Linked DNA regions of Cricetulus griseus. The protein of the gene in region 1 purifies or fractionates together with the protein of each later gene. This does not show direct contact. Links are inferred from orthologs where the notes say so. Each region holds a gene or a part of one and is shown on either strand. Other genes may lie near its edges. The genes, in order: Atxn2, Lsm12 and Pabpc4.

Region 1 (7,321 bases):
ATGAACGTGATATAACAGCTTGGGTGTGAAGGGCTCAGGGTCTGGTACTGGGAGACCTATGACTTAAGAGCACTCCATTTTCTGCTTGCTATTAAGTTTGAACCCATGAGCTATCCAGAGTCACGGGAATAGTGAGTGAGGCCTTCCCAGGTTTTTCATGTTCAGCCTGCTGTTGTGAAGGCACAGGTTTGCCTAATACTTCATCTTGTTTGGTACCAAGGTGGGGCCCATACTAGATGGATAAAAACCTGCCCCTGGGTCTTTTGTCTTTGTGATCACATTTTAATAGGGTCATCATGTTTCCTTTGTTATTCTAGTGAACAGGATGGGGTGGGCAGTTTCATCTCCAGGCTTAATTAGGAGCTCCTCAGTAGGAATCAGGAGTGGAATGGATGCTGTGACTGACATGGCAATGACCTTGTCCTTGCCCCTAGCTTCACTAATGTGGGCACTGAGACTGTAGGACAGTAGCATGGTGAGTGTAGCCAAATGATGGCCTTGAGAGAGAGAGAGGCTGTACCTGTCTTCATGTGAGCCAGAGTGATTTTTGGAGTTGTTTCTGCCCTCCAAAAGAAATAGGATTATTTTGAGTAAACTCAAATTAACTCAATGTTGATGTAATGTGCAGAGCTGTAACATGTGAGTTAATGCTGACCTTGTTAAGCAGAGCCCTTATGTCTATTTTCCAGTCTGCCTGATGTAAATGGATGCAGAGAATGCCAGTGGCATGGGTTAGATTGTAGTGGTTGTGAAAGCATTCAGTGAAGCTTTGGGATTGGGCTGGGATTGGTCATCAGCATGTATCAATTGTATACATTCCTTTTCCTTTTGCCTTAGTTTCCACGGGCTCCCTTGCTCAGCAGTATGCACATCCTAATGCCACCCTGCATCCACATACGCCCCATCCTCAGCCTTCGGCCACTCCCACTGGACAGCAACAAAGCCAGCATGGTGGAAATCATCCTGCACCCAGTCCTGTTCAGGTAAGAAGAGCCGTGGCCTGTGCATGCACAGCTGCTTCCTTGTCCCTGCTACTTACACGTCTCTGTGTGATCAGGACATATGAGACAGCCATCCTTATGTAGCTGCAGGTAGTTGTGGGTTCAGGGGAGGGCTTGAAAATGTCAAGTAAGCCGTACCCTCGGGGTAAATGCCGGAAACATGAGTGTGGAAAAGCTACTTTAGACTTAACAAAGAACTTTAAGCTAAAGTACTGTCTGGAATTTCATTCCTGAAGCCACTCAATAATGCTGCTTTCCTATTGGCTGCTGCTTTTTTTTTCCCCCAAGATGGTTTCTCTGTGTAATAGTCCTGAGTGTCTTGGAACTCATTTTGTAGACCACACTGGCCTCAAACTCACAGAGATCTGCCTCTGCCTCTGCCTCCCAAGTGCTGGGATTAAAGGCTTGGCCACCACTGCCCAGCTGCCTGTTGGCTTCTTTAGTCATATTAGCTAGTGGGGCAGTTGACAGCCTGACATCTTGTCGGTTGTTCCACCTCTGCTTGTTTGTACCTGTAACTGCCAGGCTGAGACTTGGGCTTGAGAACCCAGAAAAGACCATCTGGACAAGAGATGCCCATGATGCTCTTCTCCCTGCATCTCCTGGGCATGGCTAGAGTTGGGTGGGGCTTCTGCTGCCTTCAGTGTGTGAAGCTCTGACCCTAATGACTTCTCAGTAAAGAAGTTTCCCATTGCTTTGCAGCACCATCAACATCAAGCCGCCCAAGCTCTTCATCTGGCCAGTCCACAGCAGCAGTCAGCCATTTACCACGCGGGGCTGGCACCAACCCCACCTTCCATGACACCTGCTTCCAATACACAGTCTCCACAGAGCAGTTTCCCAGCAGCACAACAGACGGTCTTCACCATCCACCCTTCTCATGTTCAGCCGGCATATACCACCCCTCCCCACATGGCCCACGTACCTCAGGTAAACCAGCACTAGCCAAGTTTCTGTGAAGGCCACGTAGGGTGTGGTGGTTGTCAGATAAGCAGCAAGGAGCCAGATGCTCCCCAAGCCAGGAAACCCTATGTGTGGTGCCATCTGCCTGTCTCCCCCTCCCTGCTTAGTATGTGATCTTCTGGCCCTCAGTGAATGTTGCTATGATTTTGTGATGGGATCAGTGAAATTGTGACTTAGCAATTCCCAGCTGAGACCTTAAAACTCTGAGTCTGGAATGCACCCCAGTCCTTTCCTTTCTGTGTCTGCTTTGCTCCGTCTTTCTAGCTTAACCACTATGTGTCTATGTGTCCACACACAGACACCTCTACACATGCACACATGGGAGCCCGGAAGGGATGGCAGGCAGGCTTTCAATGGTTCTCAGCTCTCTGAGGTGACTGCACTAGGCCTGTTAGCTTGAATGTTAGACACACGAATTCCGGGACGGGTCTCAGTTGTTTGCCTGGTTACCCTCTATCTGCTGCAATCCTGTGTTGTGCTTCCTGAGCGCTTGGCCTTGGACTATGGTGCAGTGTAACTGAAGCTCCAGGGCAGCCCAGGGCCAGGGGAGGCCTCCATGGCTCTTAGTGTGAGGTGGCTGCATCAGGTGTCTCTGCTACTTTGATTGTAGCTGCCTGAGGCGGGTCTCACTTAGGTTTACTGAATGACTCCATTTCCTGTCACAGTGCGCCAGTGAGGCTCTGGCAAGGTGTGAGCTAGGGATGCTGTGCAGTTGGGTCTCTTGCAGAAGGCTAGTTTGTTACTAGGTGTTCTTTCCCCAGAGCTAAGGGTCTGTAGTATATACTCCTGTTGATTGGCTGGTGACAGTTGGGAGGGGAGCCAGTTTGGTCAGTGTGCTTTGGTGGAGTGAAACTTAAGAGAGCCAGGGTCCTGTAAGTGTCTAGCAGAGGCTGCGAATTTACTTTAAGATGGGCTATCCCCAAACCTCAATTGTGTGTTTGTGTAGAAGGGTAAGAGGCTTAACATAGGGAAAACAGAGAACCATGGGCCTGTTTGAAGGTGTGAACCAGCACTTCGCTGGGGTGATGGTCTAGAGCAATGCACACGATGGGAGGCAGGAAGCAGCCTCTTCCTGCTCTGCCCACTCCCTGCAGAGCTGAGGTCGAGCTCACCAACCGGTCAACCAACATCACTTTTCTAAGTTAGACTTGTTGCCACTTGGTACAGGACACCAGGCTGACCCAACTTCAGATCATTCTCATCTCATTGGAGCCATTAACTGCACCCTTTGCTCCATCAGCCAAGCTATTACATTGAGGGGCCTAAGTGCTGCTTCATTGTTTCTGGGGAACCCATCACGACTTGGGGAGGGCGGAAGAGGAGAGACTCAGGAAGCTGCTATGGGTGCTGGGGAGGTAGTCTCCTCACAGGCCCTTCCTTGTCAGTTGCTTTCTGACTTGAAAAGGGCATTGATGTATTTGGCTCCATGCCATAGCAAGTTAAGTATGTGCCCCTCCCGCCCCAATAGAGGCCTGCTCTTGGTGAAGACCTTGCCCTGTGTGATAATCTGTGAGCAGGCACTGGGGACTAGGAAGATGTGGCCAACTTTCCCATCCCAACCCTACAGGATCTGCCTCAAGGAGTCCATCTTGCCCCTTCTTGAGTCCCAGTCCAATGAAAGGAACAGTTGACTTGTTGTTTAAGACGGAGATGTTGCCTGTATGCGTAAAAGAGCTCTCTGTTTCAGGCTCATGTACAGTCAGGAATGGTTCCTTCTCATCCAACTGCCCATGCGCCAATGATGCTAATGACGACACAGCCACCCGGCGGTCCCCAGGCCGCCCTCGCTCAAAGTGCACTACAGCCCATTCCAGTCTCGACAACAGCGCATTTCCCCTATATGACGCACCCTTCAGGTGAGGCGTGTGTGTGCAGGGGCCGCCGGGGCACCCCGAGCATTCTGCTCGCACAGGTAGAATGGCAGGCAGGACCAGTGAGTGTTTCAGGCTCCAAACCTGACTAATAAGGCCCGTCCAAGTGTTTGCAGGAGGGATTGTGATGGTCAGGGAGCATCAGGGCTCAGGGCCTCTGGAGCTGAGTCTGTGTGTGTTCTGCTGGTATCAGGGTTGGCTTGAGAAGCAGCAGCCTCATTCTGGGTAGCTGATGCATGCCGAGGACTCAGTTGGCCTTCCTGGTTATGTATGACAGGCTGGACAGGGCAAGCGTGTTCCTTCCTGAGTCCCTATAGGCTGATGTGGGGGGTTTATACCCATGGCCGACTTTGATTGTAGCTTGGAGAACACTGATGAGCTGTGTGCGGACTGGATTGAGTGTAGTTTTAGCCCCAGCCTGTGCCCTGACACAGGACACCCATGATGTCTCGTACTGGATGGCTGCTGTGGCAATACCTGTCTCCCCTGTGACTTGGAAAGTATTGGTGCTTGGCTAGCATTAGTGGGAGGGGGTTTGAAGGCCTGTGCTCCTGCCCCACAAGCAGCAAGTCCAGGACTTGTATCTGAAGTGGTTTCACGTCTGACTGGTTTGTTTCTCCTCACCCCCTTCCCTCCCCAACCCCACCTTGGCTGCAGCTGGGGGGAGAGGGGCGCTAGCATTAAACCTCCAGTGTTACTCAGCAGGAGAGTAGATGACAGTCATGTGCTGCAGACACTAGGTTGGTGGGCAGTGGTGCCTGTGTTCTGTTTAAATAGCCACTTTTCTTTTTTACAGTACAAGCCCACCACCAACAGCAGTTGTAAGGCTGCCCTGGAGGAACCGAAAGGCCAAATTCCCTCCTCCCTTCTACTGCTTCTACCAACTGGAAGCACAGAAAACTAGAAGTTCATTTATTTTGTTTTTTAAAAAAATACACTGATTTAACATCCGATAGGAATGCTAACAGTTCACTTGCAGTGGAGGATGTTTTGGACCGAGTAGAGGCATGTAGGGACTTGTGGCTGTTCCATAATTCCATGTGCTGTTGCAGGGTCCCGCAAGTACCCAGCTCTGCTTGCTGAAACTGGAAGTTATTTATTTTTTAATGGCCCTTGAGAGTCATGAACGCATCAGCTAGCAAAAGAAGTAACAAGAGTGATTCTTGCTGCTATTACCGCTTTAAAAAAAAAAAAAAAATCAAGACTTGGAACGCCCTTTTACTAAACTTGACAGAAGTTCAGTAAATTCTTACCGCCAAACTGACGGATTATTATTTATAAATCAAGTTTGATGAGGCAATCACTGTCTACAGTGGTTCAACTTTTAAGTTAAGGGAAAACTTTTACTTTGTAGATAATATAAAATAAAAACTAAAAAAAAAATTAAAAAATAAAAAAAGTTTTAAAAACTGATACCCAGTTAGTGTGTGTTTGTGGCGACTCCTGCTGCTGTGGGGTGCAGACCCTGGACAGGCAGGCTAGGTGTACTGTTCCAGGCTCCTATTGGATGAGGTGCTAATCAGTGACTTCTTTTTCACCTTCATCTGGCTCAAGATATCTAGAAAAAGTCAAGACTGAGAAACCCTCTTGGGTGAATTAGTGGAAGGCTGGCCAGAGGTGGGGGGACCATCAAAAGTCTGTATCTATACTTCTTTTTTCCTATCTCCAGACTTAACCAAACCACTATTGATCCACAGTTCAGGCCTGTATTACCAGCAGGGGGCAGGAGAGTTATAACTTCTTTACCAGTCTGGAGGTGTGTCCTTGGTAGCTGAGTGCTTGCTAATAGCACAGAGCGCTGGTTCTATCCCTAGGGGAGCTGGGAAGGGATTCAGAGAACAGGAAAGCCAGAAGAACAGAACTGTCTGCTATAGGGGAAAGGTAAGTGGAGAGGGGGTTGGTGTTGCAGAGATCATGGTCGTTAATTCTGAAAACCTTTTTAATTCACATATAGCAATTTGTACACTGTAGCAAAATCTGCATTATTCAAGAATAAGTTACTCATACAGTACATAAAACAAAGATTTGCCAAATACCTTCTGCCTGTAATGATAGAAGATGAAATCCCTTCTTCCTGTTGTCACAATGCTTATTCCAGCCTTACACACTGGCTGTTAGATGCATCTCCATTAGGAGGCAGTAGATGACAAGTGACTTGATGTTTGCACTAAGGTAACATTTGAACAAGAGCCCTCAGGGAAGAGATGAGCCTCCTTTTAGGTTAAGAAACTTCTGAAAAATAGTGTTATCTGGCCCAAAATTGTTAATGGTCACTATTCCTTTTTCCTAGGGTTCAGAAATGATCAAAGGCAGAAGGAAGAGTTCTATCAGATAAAGCCATATGGACTGCTGGTCTAAAGTCAAGGCAGGTTAGCTGACTCGATTCTTTGGTGCTGGTGGCTGTTAGTGTATAGTTGTAGTCAGAAGGAAGCAATGGTGCAGGGAGTCTCTATAGGGCCAACTCACACTGTGCCTAGTGTGGCCTCACCTGCCAGTGGTGGTCTGTCAGGAATACTGGGGGTGGGAATGGTGCCTGCCTGGTAATGACACTGGTGAAGGCATCTTGCCTGGACCTCATTAAGCCACCTATTCCCCTTCAGCCAATTGGACCTACTGTAGCAGAAAGAAAAGGTGATAGCTTAGTGCCACTCTATTCCAGAGCCATGAGAAGACTGTCATAAAATACACCTTTTGAAAGGAAGCTTCTCCAACCATGGTGCGGCAGAGGTGCTGGTTTACAGTGTGTGGCCAGTCTCCCCTCTACTGAGAGATGTTTGTCTGATGAACCCAGGAGAAATGAATGCCCCTAGTTTGTATAGACAGAGATACAATCGTCCAATCAGCCCCTTTCCAGGACTACATAGCTTAGAGGAGTCTGGACCAGTGGCTGAATATTGCTTTTATCTTTGGCTCATACTTTTTATGGAAAATGAAGGAAAGCTAGTTCTCTTAAAGATGGAACACAAATCTGCACCTATGTGGGATGTGCCTTGCTCTGTGAACACAATGGTGTGTTGCAAGATTAAGCACAGTTGGCTGCTCTTCCCACCCCCATCCACTAAGGGCCACACAAGCTTGCACAGTAGAGGGTAACCAGGTGAGAAGGGTATCAGCATATCTGCCTCTGAATTAAATTGTGACTTCCTACTGCCACAGCTGTGAACCCAAAGTCTGTATGACCCGCACCTTTGAGCTCAGGAGCAGCCACTTTCTAGCCCCTGTGAGCTGTGTCACCTGGAAAAGGCCAGACCAGTATAGACCCTATTAGTTGTATGTACAGGAACATACCCTTCCACCCTGCTGCCACCTTGGACAGAACACTTACTTTGAGCTGTTGCAGGAATTTCATGGTGCCAACTTCCTTTTGGATCAAAACGGAGCCATACTCAATAAGTCATTAATTCTTGGTGGGGGGCAAGCTATAAATTTGGGTTCACTACACAGGCCCAGGCACCTTTGCATTTGTGCTTGTCTTTCCCCGACCTG
Region 2 (7,896 bases), on another chromosome or scaffold:
ACTCATAAAAATAAAATAAATAGTGCAGGCTAGTGGCCCATGCCTTTAATCCCAGGCAGAGGCAGGTAGATCTCTGAGAGTTGGAGGCCATCCTGGTCTACAAAGCTAGTTCCAGGACAGCCAAGGCTTGGTTACGCAGAGAAAACTTGTCTCCAAAAACCAAAATAAGTAAATAAATAAAATAAATAAACTCAATAAACATTTTAAAAATGATTTAAATTGTGTGCAGTTCTGGGTAGTGTCATGGAATCTGGATCTATCTTTCTCCATCCAGCCTGGGATGTGTACTATCCCTTTGTCTAAAATCTGTGCTATATATGCTATTTAACCCATTAGTCAATTAGACATCTTGATAGTGAGATCAACTCTTGGAATTGCAGTACTTGTGTTCAAGTAATTCTTATTTTACTTAATGATGACCCAATGAGTGATGTGGTGATTCAGAAATGTCATAGAGAAGTTTCCTTTAAGTGAGTGGTGAAAGTCCTGAAAGATATTTGAAACAGAGAGACCACACTCATGAAACTTTTATTATGATATACTGTTAACATTATTCTATTTTAATTAGAAAATGTTAAGCTCTGGCGTTGGTGGCACACGCCTTTAATCCCAGCTCTAGGGAGGCAGAGGCAGGCGGATCTCTGTGAGTTCAAGGTCAGCCTGGTCTCCAGATCGAGTGCCTGGATAGGCTCCAAAGCTACACAGAGAAACCCTGTTACAAAAACAAACAAAAAAACAAAAAAACCAACAACAAAAAACAAACCTGGAATTCATTAGCCGGGCGTTGGTGGCACACGCCTTTAATCCCAGCACTCGGGAGGCAGAGGCAGGCGGATCTCTGTGAGTTCGAGACCAGCCTGGTCTGCAAAATCTAGTTCCAGGACAGCTTCCAAAGCCACAGAGAAATTTCCCTGCCTCAAAAAAACCAAAAAAAGAAAAAGAAAAAAAAAAAAGAAAAAGAAAAAAGAAAGAAAATGTTAAGCCCTTACTGGGCCTAACAAACTTGAACTTGTTATCGTATGAATGGAAAACAATGTTCTATGTAGATATTCCTTCTTTCAGAGTTTGAAGCGTACAGTGGAGGAAAGCAGAAGACTAATTACAATGTCATACAAAGCAGAGTCAGGACTGAGGATGTAGCTTAGTGGTGGTACAAGGCCCTGGGTTTAACCCCAACACTCCCTCCTCCTCCCCTGGAGAAGTGGAGTTTCGGATGACTTGTTATGGAGCCAGAGCAGAAAGACACAACACTCCCCTGAGAAAGGCATAAGCATGGGGGAGAACTTTTATTCCTATTATAATGATTGTACCAATGCCTCCAACACAAGGAAGTTTTTGCCTGTTGGAGCACAAGGAAACACTTGAACTTTGTTCAGGCTCACCAGTAGTGCCAAATCTGGCCCTCGGCCTCCCTCTAAAGTAGAGAAAGGTCAACCTGTTTCTCACATTTTTATATGATGGGTTGGGTGGATGAAGGATTGCAGTTGGTGGTGAGAATTTTAAAAGTGCATGTGCAGCTGGGCGTTGGTGTCACACGCCTTTAATCCCAGCAACTCTGGAGGCAGAGGCAGCCGGATCTCTCTGAGTTCAAGGCCAGCCTGGTCTACAAATCGGAGTTCCAGGACAGGCTACAGAGAAACCCTGTCTAGAAAAATACAAAACAAAACCAACAAACAAAAAAAAGAGCATGTGTATGGCCTAGTCTACAGAGTGAGTTCCAGGACAGCCAGAGCTGCTACACAAGAAACCTTGTCTTGAAAAACAAAAAAACAAAGCAAACAAAAAAGTACATCCAGGCTGTCCCTTCCATAAGGTCAGTGAAGTATTGTATATAAGATGGATATTGTTGGGGGGCAGGGGCAGGTCCTTTCAAAACGCTTTGTCATTATAACTGTTGCTTGTTCTGAACTTTCCCTCTGTCCTTTTTATTTTTCCTGGTTTTTAGTGGTGCTGACTGAGACTTGAACCCAAGACCTTGAGAATGGGTATATGCTATATGACTGAGCTACATTCCAGAGCTGCTGCTCCTTTTTTACCTGGCTTTCTGGGACAGAGGGCAAGCAGGGAGACAGGAATGCTCTGTGTTCCAAATATGACAGGTGACCATGGGGTAACTTACTTATTTAGATCCTGTATGTCATGCATATATGCATTATCTCACTTAAGCCTCCTAGCTGCCTTATGAGGCAAGTGTTGCTATCTATTATATATAGACCAGTAGTCAAGAGCATCTTTGTTAGATTCAAAACCATGGCTTTGCCAGTTGTATGACTATTACAAGTTTAAGACTTCATTTCTTCACCTGTAAAATAAGGATATTGATTTCCGCCTTGCAGGGCTGCTGGAAGCTCAATAAGTTGTATTTAGATCTTACTGAAGAAACACAGACAGGTTTGATAGTTTAGGGTCAGAATATTTCATAAATGGCCTTAGATTCTAGTTTGCCTAACTTTACAGCTGTTTTTTGCATAATTACTTTGTAATTAGTTATAATTTTGAATGAGTCTTGTCAAGTCCTCTGAGCTTCTAGTTCTTCGTATGCAAGTGAGGACAATATTTTATTGAGTTCATTCATTAAACGTTTTTGTGCAAGGTGTGGGCTTAGCAGAGACTCCAGCTGCCTCCCTTTTTTCCTTTTCGTTCCTTTCGTAGAGGTTATTTATCCTCTACGTCTATTTATCTTCTTCCTGACTTTCAAAAGAACCCTGCAAGCACCTAACCAAGCAGCCAGGCGGCCACACAAACATTTTCACGGTATTCTCAACACTGCCCTTTATTTCCTGTTCCCTCTTCCACCTAGGCTCCCGCCCCACCCAGCACCAGACCACGCCCCGGCGCGTGACGTCAGCACGCCCCGTGCGTCGCGGCGCGGCGCTTGCTGGGGGCCCGGCTTTCGCCCGCTGCTGCCGCCGCCGCCGCCGCCCGCGGCTGCTCTCCCAAGATGGCGGCTCCTCCGGGCGAGTATTTCAGCGTTGGGAGCCAGGTGTCGTGCCGGACGTGCCAGGAGCAGCGGCTGCAGGGCGAGGTGGTGGCCTTCGACTACCAGTCCAAAATGCTGGCTCTGAGTATCCTTCCCTGCGTGGACCCCCCAGGGCCGGGCCGGCGTGTAGGTGCGGTGGTGGGGGGCGGGGGACGGCGGCGGCAGCTAGGGCCCTCTCCCGGCCTAGGGGCGACCGGCTACCGCGTCGCCCCGGGCGCATGCGCACGGCCCCGAGCTCCCCTCCCCCTCCCGCGGGCCTTTCGGTCCACTTGGGGGACCCTTGTCTCCCACCGCTTGTGAGAGCCGGGCCCCAGTCGAGGGTTGGTGGGTGGAGCGGGGCTTGACACGCGGGGTGGCTCTTGGGGAGGGAACGGTGTGGGCAGGGGTCTCAGTGATTGAAGGAGGAGGGGGTCTTGGTGGGGACGGGGGCTGCCGATTGGAGCCCGGATGAAGTGGGGAGCGGTAAAATGCTACGGGGAGGGGTGTGTAGGGTCAGGGACTGCTGGTAGGGCAAGGGTCTGGACTTCAGGAGTGGGCTGTCTGCTGATGAGATTGGGTTCAAGAAAGGGCGGTGGGATGGTGACCAAATGGCCCTTGCCAGTTTGCGGGTAGGAAGTGCAGGACAGAATTTCGTATTCTGTGCTGGTGGCTGATTCTGCTAGAGTCGTGTATGCTTGGTGTCATTGTGTGTGTGTGTGTGGGGGGGGGGATGTGTGTGTGGTGATTTTGAGGTTCTCAGTCATTTGAAAATTGCTGTTTAGGGGGTGTTGGAATTGGAAGCCTGGTCCAGGGAGGACTTGCCCCGTTTTTCAGGGGTTTATGTATGTCAGTGTTCAGTTCGATACATAGCAAAATGTCCTCCTTTTTTAAAGTACCAATGTGACACTGCATGGAAGAGGTGGCCCTGCTCCCTTGGGGTGGAAATGATTTCTGAATTACTCCAGCAAACTCACTGTTGGAAAACAAAACACTTCCTGGTTGGAATAAATGTAGCACTACTTCCCCCTTTATTTGAGCTACAGGTGGGCTTACTTGAATTATTTATTTATTTATTTTTAGGCGAAGGTAGCCTCTGTCTTTAAAATGAAGTTTCTTTTGTTTATTTTTCTTTCAAGACAGGGTTTCTCTGTGTAGCTTTGGAGCCTGTCCTGGAGCTCACTGTAGACCAGGCTGGCCTTGAACTCACAGAGATCCGCCTACCTCTGCCTTGTGAGTGCTGGGATTAAAGGTGTGTGCCACCACTACTCGGTTTAAAGTGAAGTTTCTTGGGAAGTCTGCTGCCTTTTAATTAGTCATGAGTTGTCAATTGCTAGCTCAGATAGATTTTTTCATAAACTAATTACAAGAGCAGTCCCTTTATCTTGTGTTATTTTAAAAACAAGAGATCATAGTTGGCCTAAAACCTCTTTCTTTAGTGGCTTAGTTGGAAGAGTCTTAGAAAAAAGACTTAGTCTCCTTTTATCTGGCACACAGAAGGGTCTTAGTAAATGGTTGGAAAATGAATGGATGGATGAATGAACTAGGTGTCATTTTGGGTAGTTTCCTTCCCGATGGTGTAGTTTTTGCCTTTGAAAAATGGGAACATCACTAGTGGGGAAAAAGAAACTGAAAAAAGAAAGAACGTGAAATCTAAACAAGCAAGAAGCACCCTGTAGATACAGGAGACATTTGAATGTTAACCCCAAACCTGAAAGCACAGACTCCTCTCTGGCTCCTAAGTTCAACACAAACTGTGCACATGGCGTTAAAGCTGCATTTCTCTCCATTAAACCCATGGAGAGAAGTGACAGAAACCTTTTTGAGACTTTCAGTTTCTGCCTGTTTATGGCTTTGAAAAGCTTGAGATCTTCTGGTTATGTCTTTGGGCAGAAGCAAGGTAATGGGGGAAGAGAGTAAGCACTTAATGGGGCTTGCTTGTCTTTTCTATAAGCTTGTATTTCTTTCTATACTCATGAGATGTGCCTTTGTCCTATTTTCCTTAACTTTATTTTCTCACCAGAATGTCCCTCTTCCAGTGGAAAGCCCAACCACGCAGACATCTTGCTTATAAACTTACAGTATGTTTCTGAAGTGGAAATAATTAATGATCGAACAGAAACCCCTCCTCCACTAGCATCACTTAATGTTAGTAAGGTAAGGTTTCAAGGGCAGTTCTAGCTGTCTAAAACACTGACTTTTTGTGATATATACATTGCTTATTCTGTTTTTTTTTTCTTGGGGAGGGGCAGGGACTGCTTGTTCTTTTTCCCATTTGAGGAGGTACTCATATATCCCATGCTAACTTTGAACTTAATATATAGCCAAGGACGGCTTTGAACTTCAGATTTTCCTGACTGTCTCCAGGACAGTGCTGGGATTATAATAGGCATGTGCTACCACAAATGGTTTCTGTGATGTGGGGATCAAACACAGGCCCTCCTGCCTGCTAGGCAAGCACTCTGCCAGCTGAGCGCCTTCCCCGGCCTTTCTTTGGTGGCTTATATGAGACAGGGTTTCACGTAGCCTAGGCTGGCCTTGAACTTGTTCTGTATACTTTGTGATAATGACTTTAAACTCAGATCTTCCTGACTACACCTCTTAAGTGTTAAAATTGCCTGGCTTGTTATCTTTTCTAAAGTATATTTGTATAATTTGTTCCCTTTATTTCTGAATATCTTTGTTGCACCTTAAGAAATAACTTTGGGTCTCTAAGTTTGGGAGGCCAGCCTGGTTTACAGAGTGAGTTCCAGGACAGAGTCCAAAGCTACACAGAGAAGCTACCTCAAAAAACAAATAAATAAAGAAATAAAAAACAAATAAAAAAGAAAGGAAAAAGAAATACCTTTAACTTGGGTGGTGCATGCCTGCAATCTCAGTACTTGGGAGGTAGACACAGGAGGTTCAGAAGTTGAAGGTCCCCAGGTGTTGATGGCGAGCACCTTTAATTCCAGCACTCGGGAGGCAGAGGCAGGCAGAGCTCTGTGAGTTTGAGGCCAGCCTGGAATATATGAGACCTGTCACAAAGGGAAAAAAGTACACATGACTTGAAAGTTGAGCATGGTTGTAGTCCCTGCATGCAGGATGCAGAGGCAAGAGGATTGCTGTAAATTCAAGGCCAGTCTGGTCTACATAGGAAATTCTAGATTGGAACAGTATACAAATAATAATTATTTATTTATTGACTTGTTTATTATTTTGAGACACGGCTCACTATGTATGTATCCCTGGTTGGTTTGGAGCTTGCCCATATAGACCATTCTGGCCCTGTACCCATGGAGATCCACCTGCCTCTGCCTCTCTCAAGGGTTTGGATTAAAGGCCTATGCCATTATGCCCAACCTATTCTCTGTGTATGTCAATGTGTATGCTGTATGTGTTCAAGTGCCTGAAGAGGCCAGAAGAGGGCATTGTATCCATGGAGCTGGAGTGACAGGCAGCTGTGAGCCATCTGATAGGGATGCTCGGATCCTCTGGAACAGCATCAAATGCTCGTAACCACTAAAGCATCTCACCTAGCCCCTTCCTAGCTTAATCTTAATACTCAAGTAGGGTTGAGAGCTTGTGTTTGCCCTTCATAAAGAGGACTGTGAATAGAGGTTGACATGGGATTTCTTCCTGTTTCACTTTTAGTTTTATTTTTTGAGACCTGGTCTAATTGAACCTGGCACTCACTGATTCAGCCAGACTGGTTGGCCAGAGAACTCCAGAGTTCTGTTTGTCTCTCCTCCCCAAAGCAGATAGTCTAAAGCCAGCCTTTTATTTGGGTCCTAGGAATTGAACTCGTGGCCTCCTGTTTGTGTGGCAAGCACTTCAACTGATCCATCTCCCAACCCTCTTTCCCAATAACCACCCCCCCTTTTTTTCCTTCTTTTTTGGGGGGGTAGTTTCAAGACAGGGTTTCTGTATGTAATAATACAGCCTTGGCTGTCTTGGGAACTCACTCTGTAGACCAGGCTGGCCTCTGCTCAGATCCACCTGCCTCTGCCTCCTGAGTGCTGGGATTAAAAGCATGTGCCACTGCTGCCTGGCCCTCACCCCTTTTTTAAACCTAGAGTCCATGCGGTTTATAAGGGGTGTTGCCCACTGACCTGGAGTTATGTGATGTGGATAGTGCATAATGGGTGAAGATTTAGGAGTGCTTCATACTTTTAAGAGAAGAGATTCATAGGTGGGCGGTGGTGGTGCATGCCTTAATCCCAGCACTTGGGAGCCAGAGGCTGTCTGATCTCTGGTGATGTATTGTTTATTATCTAATAAAACTTTCCTGAAGGTCAGAGAAGCAAAGCTAGCCATATCCATAGAGAGGTCAGGCAGTGGTGGCACACACTTTTAATCTGAGGACTCAGGAGACAGAGGTAGATGGATCTCTGAGTTCAAGGCCACCCAGGGCTACATGAGAGTGAAGCATTTGAAAAGAGAAACAGAGCTCATGCCTTTAATTCCAGCACTAGAGAAGTATATAAGACAGGAGCAGGAGCAGGGTCTCAGAGCTGGCATTCAGTCTTGGACAATTAGTCTCCAGCCACGATGAGGACAGGATTGCCCCAGCCTTGGTAGAGGTAAGAAGAGCTCTCTGGTGATTTGGCTGTTTTGTTTATCTGATCTTCAGTTTTAAACCTAAAATCTGCCTCTGGGTTTATATTATTTTATGTTACAGATCTCTGTGAATTTGAGGCCAGCCTGATTACAGAGTGAGTTACAGGACAGGCTCCAAAGCTACAAAGAAACCCTGTCTTGGAACCCCCCCTCTCCCCCAAAAATTGAAAGCCATAACCCAGATGTGGTAGCTCACACCTTTAATTCCAGCACTTGGGAGGCAGAGGTAGGTGGATCTCTGATTTCGAGGCCAGCCTGGTCTTCAGAGCGAGTTCCAGGACACCTAGGGCTACACATAGAAACCTGGTCTCGGAAAAAAAAAAAAAACAAGAAAACCAAGC
Region 3 (7,321 bases), on another chromosome or scaffold:
CGGTGTCTCTGGTGCCACCTGTGCGCTGCGGCGCGGGCCACGGCTCCTCGGAGCCCCTTTTGTCCTGCAGTGAGCCCTGTAAGAAGTCCTGGCGGGGCTCGGGGTGGTGGGGGGTGGGGAGATGAACGCTGCGGCCAGCAGCTACCCCATGGCCTCCTTGTACGTGGGCGACCTGCACTCGGACGTCACCGAAGCCATGCTATATGAAAAGTTCAGTCCTGCGGGGCCTGTGCTGTCCATCCGGGTCTGCCGCGATATGATCACCCGCCGATCTCTGGGTTATGCCTACGTCAACTTCCAGCAGCCAGCTGATGGTGAGTAGCAGCGGTGTCTACAGTCGGGAGATTCCAGGGGACCTTAGGAGTCCTGTAGCGGAGGCCGAACTGGCAAGGGCTGGCTGGGGAGGAACGTGACAGCATGTTGCCAGAGAAGCCATACGGGAATCAAGGTATAGTGGGTAGTGGTTGAGAGCAGAGCATGTGGTCATGACCCCGGCTTCCAGACTTGCTTCCACCACTTGCTAACCTGATGACCTTGGGCTACTGGGGTGGGGGTTGGAATCCAGGAGACTGTGTAAATTGGGATCTGGATAAAGTGACTGGGCTGTTGTAGTGTCTAGTCCCACTCAAGTAGAAGTGGGTCTGTTATAGACCCTGGCATGGACTGGCTCTCAATGGATTGAAGCAGCACCCTCCAAAGTGTAGGTTGCAAAGCTGCCGGCCCTTCCGGCCCCTTAACCTGGACTGAGTCTTGATTTTGTGTTGATTAGGGATGGCTGTAGGGTAGTGGGAAGCAATTTCCTGACGTAGCCTTGAGGCTTTGCTAGTGTCACCAGCAGCTTCTACCAGGCCAGTCCCCCACCCCCCTGTCATTTGCCACACTGTTTTGGGGGCTTTTCTCAGCTCTGGGTGAAGCTGTAGGCTGTGGAGAATGGTACCTGGGTAATCTAGGGAGGTGTCACTGGAGTCTACCCGGCAGTTAATTGCCTCACCAGCCATTCCCTTGTTTTGTGTTCACTGTCCACGAGGCAGGTTGCAGCTGAGGCCAGGGAATTGGTGTGCTTGACATGGGTATTTCTATCCAGTATATAGAGACTAGTACTCATACTCGACCACCAGGGTGTCAAAGGGGAACTTTTTTAGTGGGGGAGTGATGGAGTCCCTTAGCTGTTGCCTGCTCTTTTGGCTTCTGAACAAGTTGTGTCTCTTAGAGATAGCAGAAGCCATTGGTCAGTATGTGTGCCAACACATACCACTGTAGGACTTCTCCCGGCTATAAATAAGCGCAGCCCGATTTGTCGGCTTACCAGCTCCACTGGTGTTGTCTGAAATAGATCAGGAATTGTGTTGGGATGGGCTCCTTAACTGCTAATATCATGGGATAGTTTTAAGTTTGCAGACTTAGGGGCAAGCTTCTACTTGACTTTCACTGATCTGACTTGGCTGATTGATTTCTTTGCAATGCTAAAGAGACCCAGGGTCTTGGCTGTATTGGGCAGTTGCCCCACTACTAGGCTTACTGCTAGTCCTTGTCCTTCTTTGAAGTCAGAAGGGTAAGGTGAGAAATAGGCTTGCCTGCTTTTTTTGTTGTTTTTGAGACAGGGTCTCTATGTAACTTTGGAGCCTATCCTGGTGTTCACTCTGTAGACCAGGCTGGCCTCGAACTTCACAGAGATCTGCCCGCCTCTGCCTCCCAAGTGCTGGGATTAAAGGCGTGCACCACCAACGCCTGGCCAACTCGCTTTTTTTTTTTTTTTTTTTGTTTTTGAGAACAGGGTCTCTGTGATCCTGGCTGTCCTAGAACACACTACTTAATGTAGACCAGGCTGGCCTTTGTTGTGCAGCACACATATCTGCTCACCCCAGATAAGGGCCCATGACAGATCAAAGTATGGATACCAGTGAAGCCCACCACAAACCAGTGAGTTTTATTGTGGTTACTTACAGAAATGTGCCTGAGACAGCTACATTGCCTGAGCCCACCCCAGTGTGTGATAGCTCACAAAGCTGGGAACCTGGAGCAAGCACACTGCATAGACTTCAGGCAGCTCAACAGGCTGTAGAGTGTCCCTTTCAGGCTGTCTAACCCTCTTCCAGGCTGCTTGGCTGGTTTCTGCTTTTTCTAGGTGGCTGATCTACTGTAACAGTTTTTATGGCTTTTCTCTTGAGCATCTTGGCAGCTCAGCATTTTTTTGGAGGGGTGGGGCAGGGAGTGCCCTAGTGAATCTGATCAGTTTCAGGGACTTCCTGAAGCTATTTTTGAATTGTTTATTTACCTTCCTGCTTAAGGAGCTTTTTCTCAGGATGGAATGTTTTCATTTGGGGGGAAATTTACACAGAACTGCTGGGATTAAGAGCTCTGCATCCAGCCGCCTACTTTGACTTTTTGTTTTGTTTTTTGTTTTTTAAGATAGGTTTATTTATTTATTGTGTATACAGTGTTCTGTCTGCATGTAACCCTGCAGTCCAGAAGTGGGCATCAGACTACATTACAGATGATTGGAAGCCACCATGTGGTTGCTGGGAATTGAACTCGGGACCTCTGGAAGAACGGGCAGCGCTCTTAACCCCTGAGCCATCTCTCCAGCCCCGACTTTTTTTGTTTTTTGATAGGACTGGGGAATCTCATGTAGCCCAGGCTGAACTCCAACGAGTGATCTTCCTGTGCTGAGGTTTATCTTTGGTCCTTCACTGTGCCTCTGTGGTACCTGGTGGGTGTGGTTGGGCAGCTCCCTGACCTACCAGAAGGAAAGACAGCTGAATTCCTAGGGTTCCGAGAATTCTGATTAAACCTTTGAAAGGTCTGGGCACCACAAGGCCTCAGGGCCTGTCTGTACTGTCTGTGCCCTCAGATAAAGGTGTGCCGGTTTACCCTGCCACAGCAATGCTGAGCACACTTCCATTTAGTTAAGAGACTTTTTGTACAAAAAATGTGTGGTGGCACATTCTCTTAATCCCACAACTTAGGCAGTGGCTGGTGGCTCTCTGAGTTTGATGGTCTGTAAGTGGGTTCCAGGACAGCCAGAGCTAGAGACCCTGCCTCAAGAAGAAAACATAAAAAATTGTACTTGAGTCTCTAGTTAAGTTTCTATTTACTAATGAACCACCTGGCTTAGTTGCCCTGAACATGACTATTTTGACTCCTCACCTGTGTCAAGGTGGTCATTGGTGGGTATAAAGTCCCTTGAACATGAGCTTAGTCCATGGTGAGGACCTTGGTGCCCAGAGCCACTTTGGTACCTTTTCTTTTTCTTAGGTAGTAACGGTTCAGTGATCTTTCTGGAATGGTGACAGTCATCTTAGTTGATGTTTAGCATTCTTAATTAAAATATGTTCCTCTTCTACAGCTGAGAGAGCCTTGGACACCATGAACTTCGATGTGATTAAGGGAAAGCCAATCCGGATCATGTGGTCTCAGAGGGATCCCTCTTTGAGAAAGTCTGGTGTAGGGAATGTCTTCATCAAGAACCTGGATAAATCTATAGACAACAAGGCACTTTATGATACTTTTTCAGCCTTTGGAAACATCCTGTCCTGTAAGGTAAACGTTAATTATTTTAACTAAATAATTACTGCATCTTGAAAATGAGATAAATATTAAAGCTGGGTGTGGTATACTCTCAAGACTGTGATAGGAGCTATCTTGGGAGTTCAAGGCCAGTTTGGGGTTTAGAAAGACTCAAAACAAGGTACTATCAAAGGGAAGGTACCTTGGACAATTGGGTATGATAATTTCTTAAATGCTGGAAATGGAATGTCTCCCTCCTTTAGTCCTGGGGTTTGAGCTTGGGGCCTCATGCATGTAAGGCATGTGTTCTACCACTGACGTGTTTTTTATTAGCACATGTTAGTGACAGGTAATGTTTTCATTGTGAAATTTTTATGCCTATACGTAATACTCTTGATGGGTATATCCCCATTGCTTTCTCTTAGCTTGCTCCCATAGTCCTATCCCTAGTTCTTAACAAACCTACTGCTGTTCTCTGTGTGAGTGGGGGGGGGCGCGTGCGCAACCCAGTGCATTTCATTACAGTTGCTCACAACTCCCCCATCTCTGTATAAAGCCTCTGGGGTCCAGCAAGCTTTATCCCCAGCCCTCTTTTTTTTTTTTTTTTTTTTGAGATCTCACCAGGTTGCCTAGTCTGGCCTTGAGCTTTTGATTGTCATGAGTCTCCACATCCTGAATAGCTGTTATGAGAGGTCTTCCATTAGGCAAATGCTCATCCACCAAGCTGGCTCCCGCTCTGGGAATAGGGGCTTCAATAAAGGACTTGTAGATAATCCCAGCCACAGCCTCATGTAACCTGGAAATTTTTTGTTTTGAGATGGGGATACATATAGCTCAGCTTGGCTTTTGAACTTCTGGTTGTCATGTTTCTAGCTCCCAGATGCTAAGATGACAAATGTGTGCTCGGGACTTGGCATTCTGGGCTAGCACTCTGTCAGATGAGCTCTAGTGCCTTGCAGGTGCTTTTGTGTCTTTATTCTTCATGAGCACTCATACACATACCACTTTGTTACCTACTTTTAGAAGCTTGGATAAGGGAGAGGAGAGGACATAAGCCCGTTGTTTCCAGAAACCCTTACTTAAATCTTAGAGGCATTAGTTAACTGTATTCTGTAACCTTCACATGGTGACTTAAATTCTTTTGTAGGCTTGGGATACAGTTTGTCTTTCTGAGCACTTTGGTTTGTACCCAGATCTCCTGGGTTTGTTTTTCCCCCATTTTGTTGGCTGATAGTTGAACCCAGGGCCTGGCCAATGTTGTTCAGGTGCTCTGCTGCTGAGCCAGTCTCTAGCCTTCCCTATCTTCTCTCTGAGTTAAATTTTATTTATTTATAAACAAATTGTATCACGGTGTGGGTGTGCTCATGGAGGTCAGAGGATGGTTAACAAGAGTCAGTTTGCTCCACCTTGTGGATCCCAGGGAATGAACTTGGGGCTGTAGTTTTGGTGGTAAGCACCTTTACCCAGTGAAACCACATAAACACACATACACTTTCTTTTCTGAGGCTGGATCTCATAATCTAGGCTGGGCTCCAAAATATCACATGTACTGTGGATGACCTTGAACCTCATCTGAGCTGTGGCCTATCCCCACGTGCTGGGATTACAAGCATGTCACCACACTCTGCCAGATCTAGAAAAAAAAAGTGAATTTGAAAAAAGCCTGGGCTCAGCAGGAAACTCATTTGGTAAAGTACTGGCTATACAAGAAGGGATCTGAGTTTGTCCACATAAAAAGTGGACGTGGGGGCATGCTTGTATAATACCAGTACTGGGGAGGCTGACACAGAATTCCTGGGGCTTGCATGTCAGCCAGCCTGACCCAATCAGGAGTTCCAGACTGATGGGAGACCCTGTATCCTAAAAGAACCAGCTGGGTTGACCTACCCCCCACAAACATGATTGATTTGGGTTAGGCACAGGCTAACCATTTGTAAGTGGAGCTGTGCAATGTTAGCTCCCGGCTGGTGCGACAGGCAGTGATGCTCAGGTGGTCTGCCTTTTCTTCAACAGGTGGTTTGTGATGAGAATGGCTCTAAGGGTTATGCCTTTGTCCACTTCGAGACCCAAGAGGCTGCTGACAAGGCCATCGAGAAGATGAATGGCATGCTCCTCAATGACCGCAAAGTGTGAGTGTCCCAGTCTGGAGGACAGCCATCGCATGAGCCAGCCATGGCCCCACCTCGGTATTAACTGGCACACACAAGGCGGCTGCTGGTTCTCTCGGCCCAAGTGTGGCCTGCTCCTACCTCTCCACTCCAGGGCTGGTGAGTCTCCCTGCCCGAGCCATGGCAGCCCTTTTGACTCGCCACAGTCGGCTCCCTGCCCGAGCCATGGCCTGCCTGCTGCCTCTCCCTTGGAGGAAATTCACCTGTGGGTTTTGTGAGCATCAGCAACCGGGGCTGGGACAGCTCTGAGCCCACTCTGAGCAGGGGTCTTGGCCAGCGGCAGAGTGGAGAGGCCCTGGGCTGACCAGGAGCTGGATACTAGCTATGTGACCTTGGCTTTCCTTTGACTCAGGTCTGCCCGTGGGTCTTTTGCTAGTTTTTGGCACCAAATTAGTTCTTCTTCCTCTGAGCTGCAATTCTGTTTCACTGTATGCTTAGTTTGCATACAGTGAAAAACCATCCCTTTGCAGAGACACTGTATAACATCTTGTCATTACTGTGGGGTGGGGACAGAACTTAGCTGAACCTTGTGGGGGAAATCGAAAGTAGTGTTACATAAGGGCTATTACAAGCAACAATTACTTCTGTCCTTTGTGGTATGGAATGTACAAGGCTGTGTTTATGTCTGTGTGTGGGGTGTGGAGATATTTTCCTGTCAGGGGAACACAACGGGAAAGCAAGGGTTACCTCCAATCGCAGGACTCTCACTGCTAGACTAACCACTGTTAACAGTTTGGTTTGTATCCTTCCAGACATTTTCTATGCATTTACATAGATGCACAGAAATGAACGTTTTAAAAACATGGTCGTCAGGTTTCTTCACGAAGGCAGTGTGATGTGGTAGGAGTGGCCCTGGTCTGAACCAGGAGCCCTGGGACTGGTCCTTGCAGGATAGTCCTGCCTCTTTCTTTTTCTGCTGGGGACTTGGGGCATCTGAGCTTGTTCTCATGGTGGATGGGGTCCTCATGTCTTAACCTCTCCTGTCAGCCTTTAACCTGCATTCCTTTGGGCCCCTGGAAATGATGTTTGTTCCTTCTGAGTAACTAATCACTGTTCACGGTTTCTTTGTAGGTTTGTGGGCAGATTCAAGTCTCGCAAAGAGCGGGAAGCTGAGCTCGGGGCCAAGGCCAAGGAATTCACCAATGTTTATATCAAAAACTTTGGGGAGGAAGTGGATGATGATAATCTGAAAGAGCTATTCAGCCAGTTTGGTAAGTTGAGGTCTGTAGTGTCATCTTGTACTGACCATCAGCTCAAGAAATAACCTGTTTTTTACTTAAAGAAACAGGACACTTAGCGTCAGAGGGTGAATGAATAGTCCAGGCCTTTTTTTTTTTTTTTTTTTTTTTTTCTCTTGGCTCTATCTTAGCTCCGTCTGTTGAGGTTATCCTAGATGCTTGGTTGAGTTTTACCTCTTCCTGCCTCAGACCTATCTGGGCTCAGCCAGAGATTCCTTCAGCTGAGTTACTAACAAGAAGTCTTGGGATGTGGTAGAGATGGTGTCACTAATAGTTCTGTCCTTTGGTAATAGGTAAAACTTTAAGTGTCAAGGTGATGAGAGATCCCAGTGGGAAATCCAAAGGCTTTGGCTTTGTAAGTTACGAAAAACACGAGGATGCAAATAAGGTGAGTGTACTGTGAGTGTC

Evidence for each region.
Region 2: the proteins of Atxn2 (region 1) and Lsm12 purify together in Homo sapiens (affinity purification with mass spectrometry; 4 studies listed by BioGRID and IntAct, with this or other methods). This does not show direct contact. The link is inferred for Cricetulus griseus from reciprocal best matches to the Homo sapiens genes ATXN2 and LSM12.
Region 3: the proteins of Atxn2 (region 1) and Pabpc4 purify together in Homo sapiens (affinity purification with mass spectrometry; 4 studies listed by BioGRID and IntAct, with this or other methods). This does not show direct contact. The link is inferred for Cricetulus griseus from reciprocal best matches to the Homo sapiens genes ATXN2 and PABPC4.

What each region holds. Positions count from the first base shown.
Region 1 is NC_048597.1:101,658,931-101,666,251, forward strand, and holds the end of Atxn2 (ataxin-2), read left to right. Parts: intron 1-837; coding exon 838-983; intron 984-1,703; coding exon 1,704-1,931; intron 1,932-3,651; coding exon 3,652-3,820; intron 3,821-4,631; coding exon 4,632-4,660; coding exon of another isoform or gene 4,661-4,739; 3' UTR 4,740-5,054; downstream 5,055-7,321. UniProt on the Homo sapiens protein: Involved in EGFR trafficking, acting as negative regulator of endocytic EGFR internalization at the plasma membrane.
Region 2 is NC_048600.1:115,913,538-115,921,433, forward strand, and holds the start of Lsm12 (protein LSM12 homolog), read left to right. Parts: upstream 1-2,857; 5' UTR 2,858-2,941; coding exon 2,942-3,065; intron 3,066-4,979; coding exon 4,980-5,113; intron 5,114-7,896. UniProt on the Homo sapiens protein: Nicotinic acid adenine dinucleotide phosphate (NAADP) binding protein. Confers NAADP sensitivity to the two pore channel complex (TPCs) by acting as TPC accessory protein necessary for NAADP-evoked Ca(2+) release.
Region 3 is NC_048595.1:29,710,974-29,718,294, reverse strand, and holds part of Pabpc4 (polyadenylate-binding protein 4), read left to right. Parts: 5' UTR 1-121; coding exon 122-314; intron 315-3,346; coding exon 3,347-3,540; intron 3,541-5,520; coding exon 5,521-5,636; intron 5,637-6,746; coding exon 6,747-6,886; intron 6,887-7,206; coding exon 7,207-7,301; intron 7,302-7,321.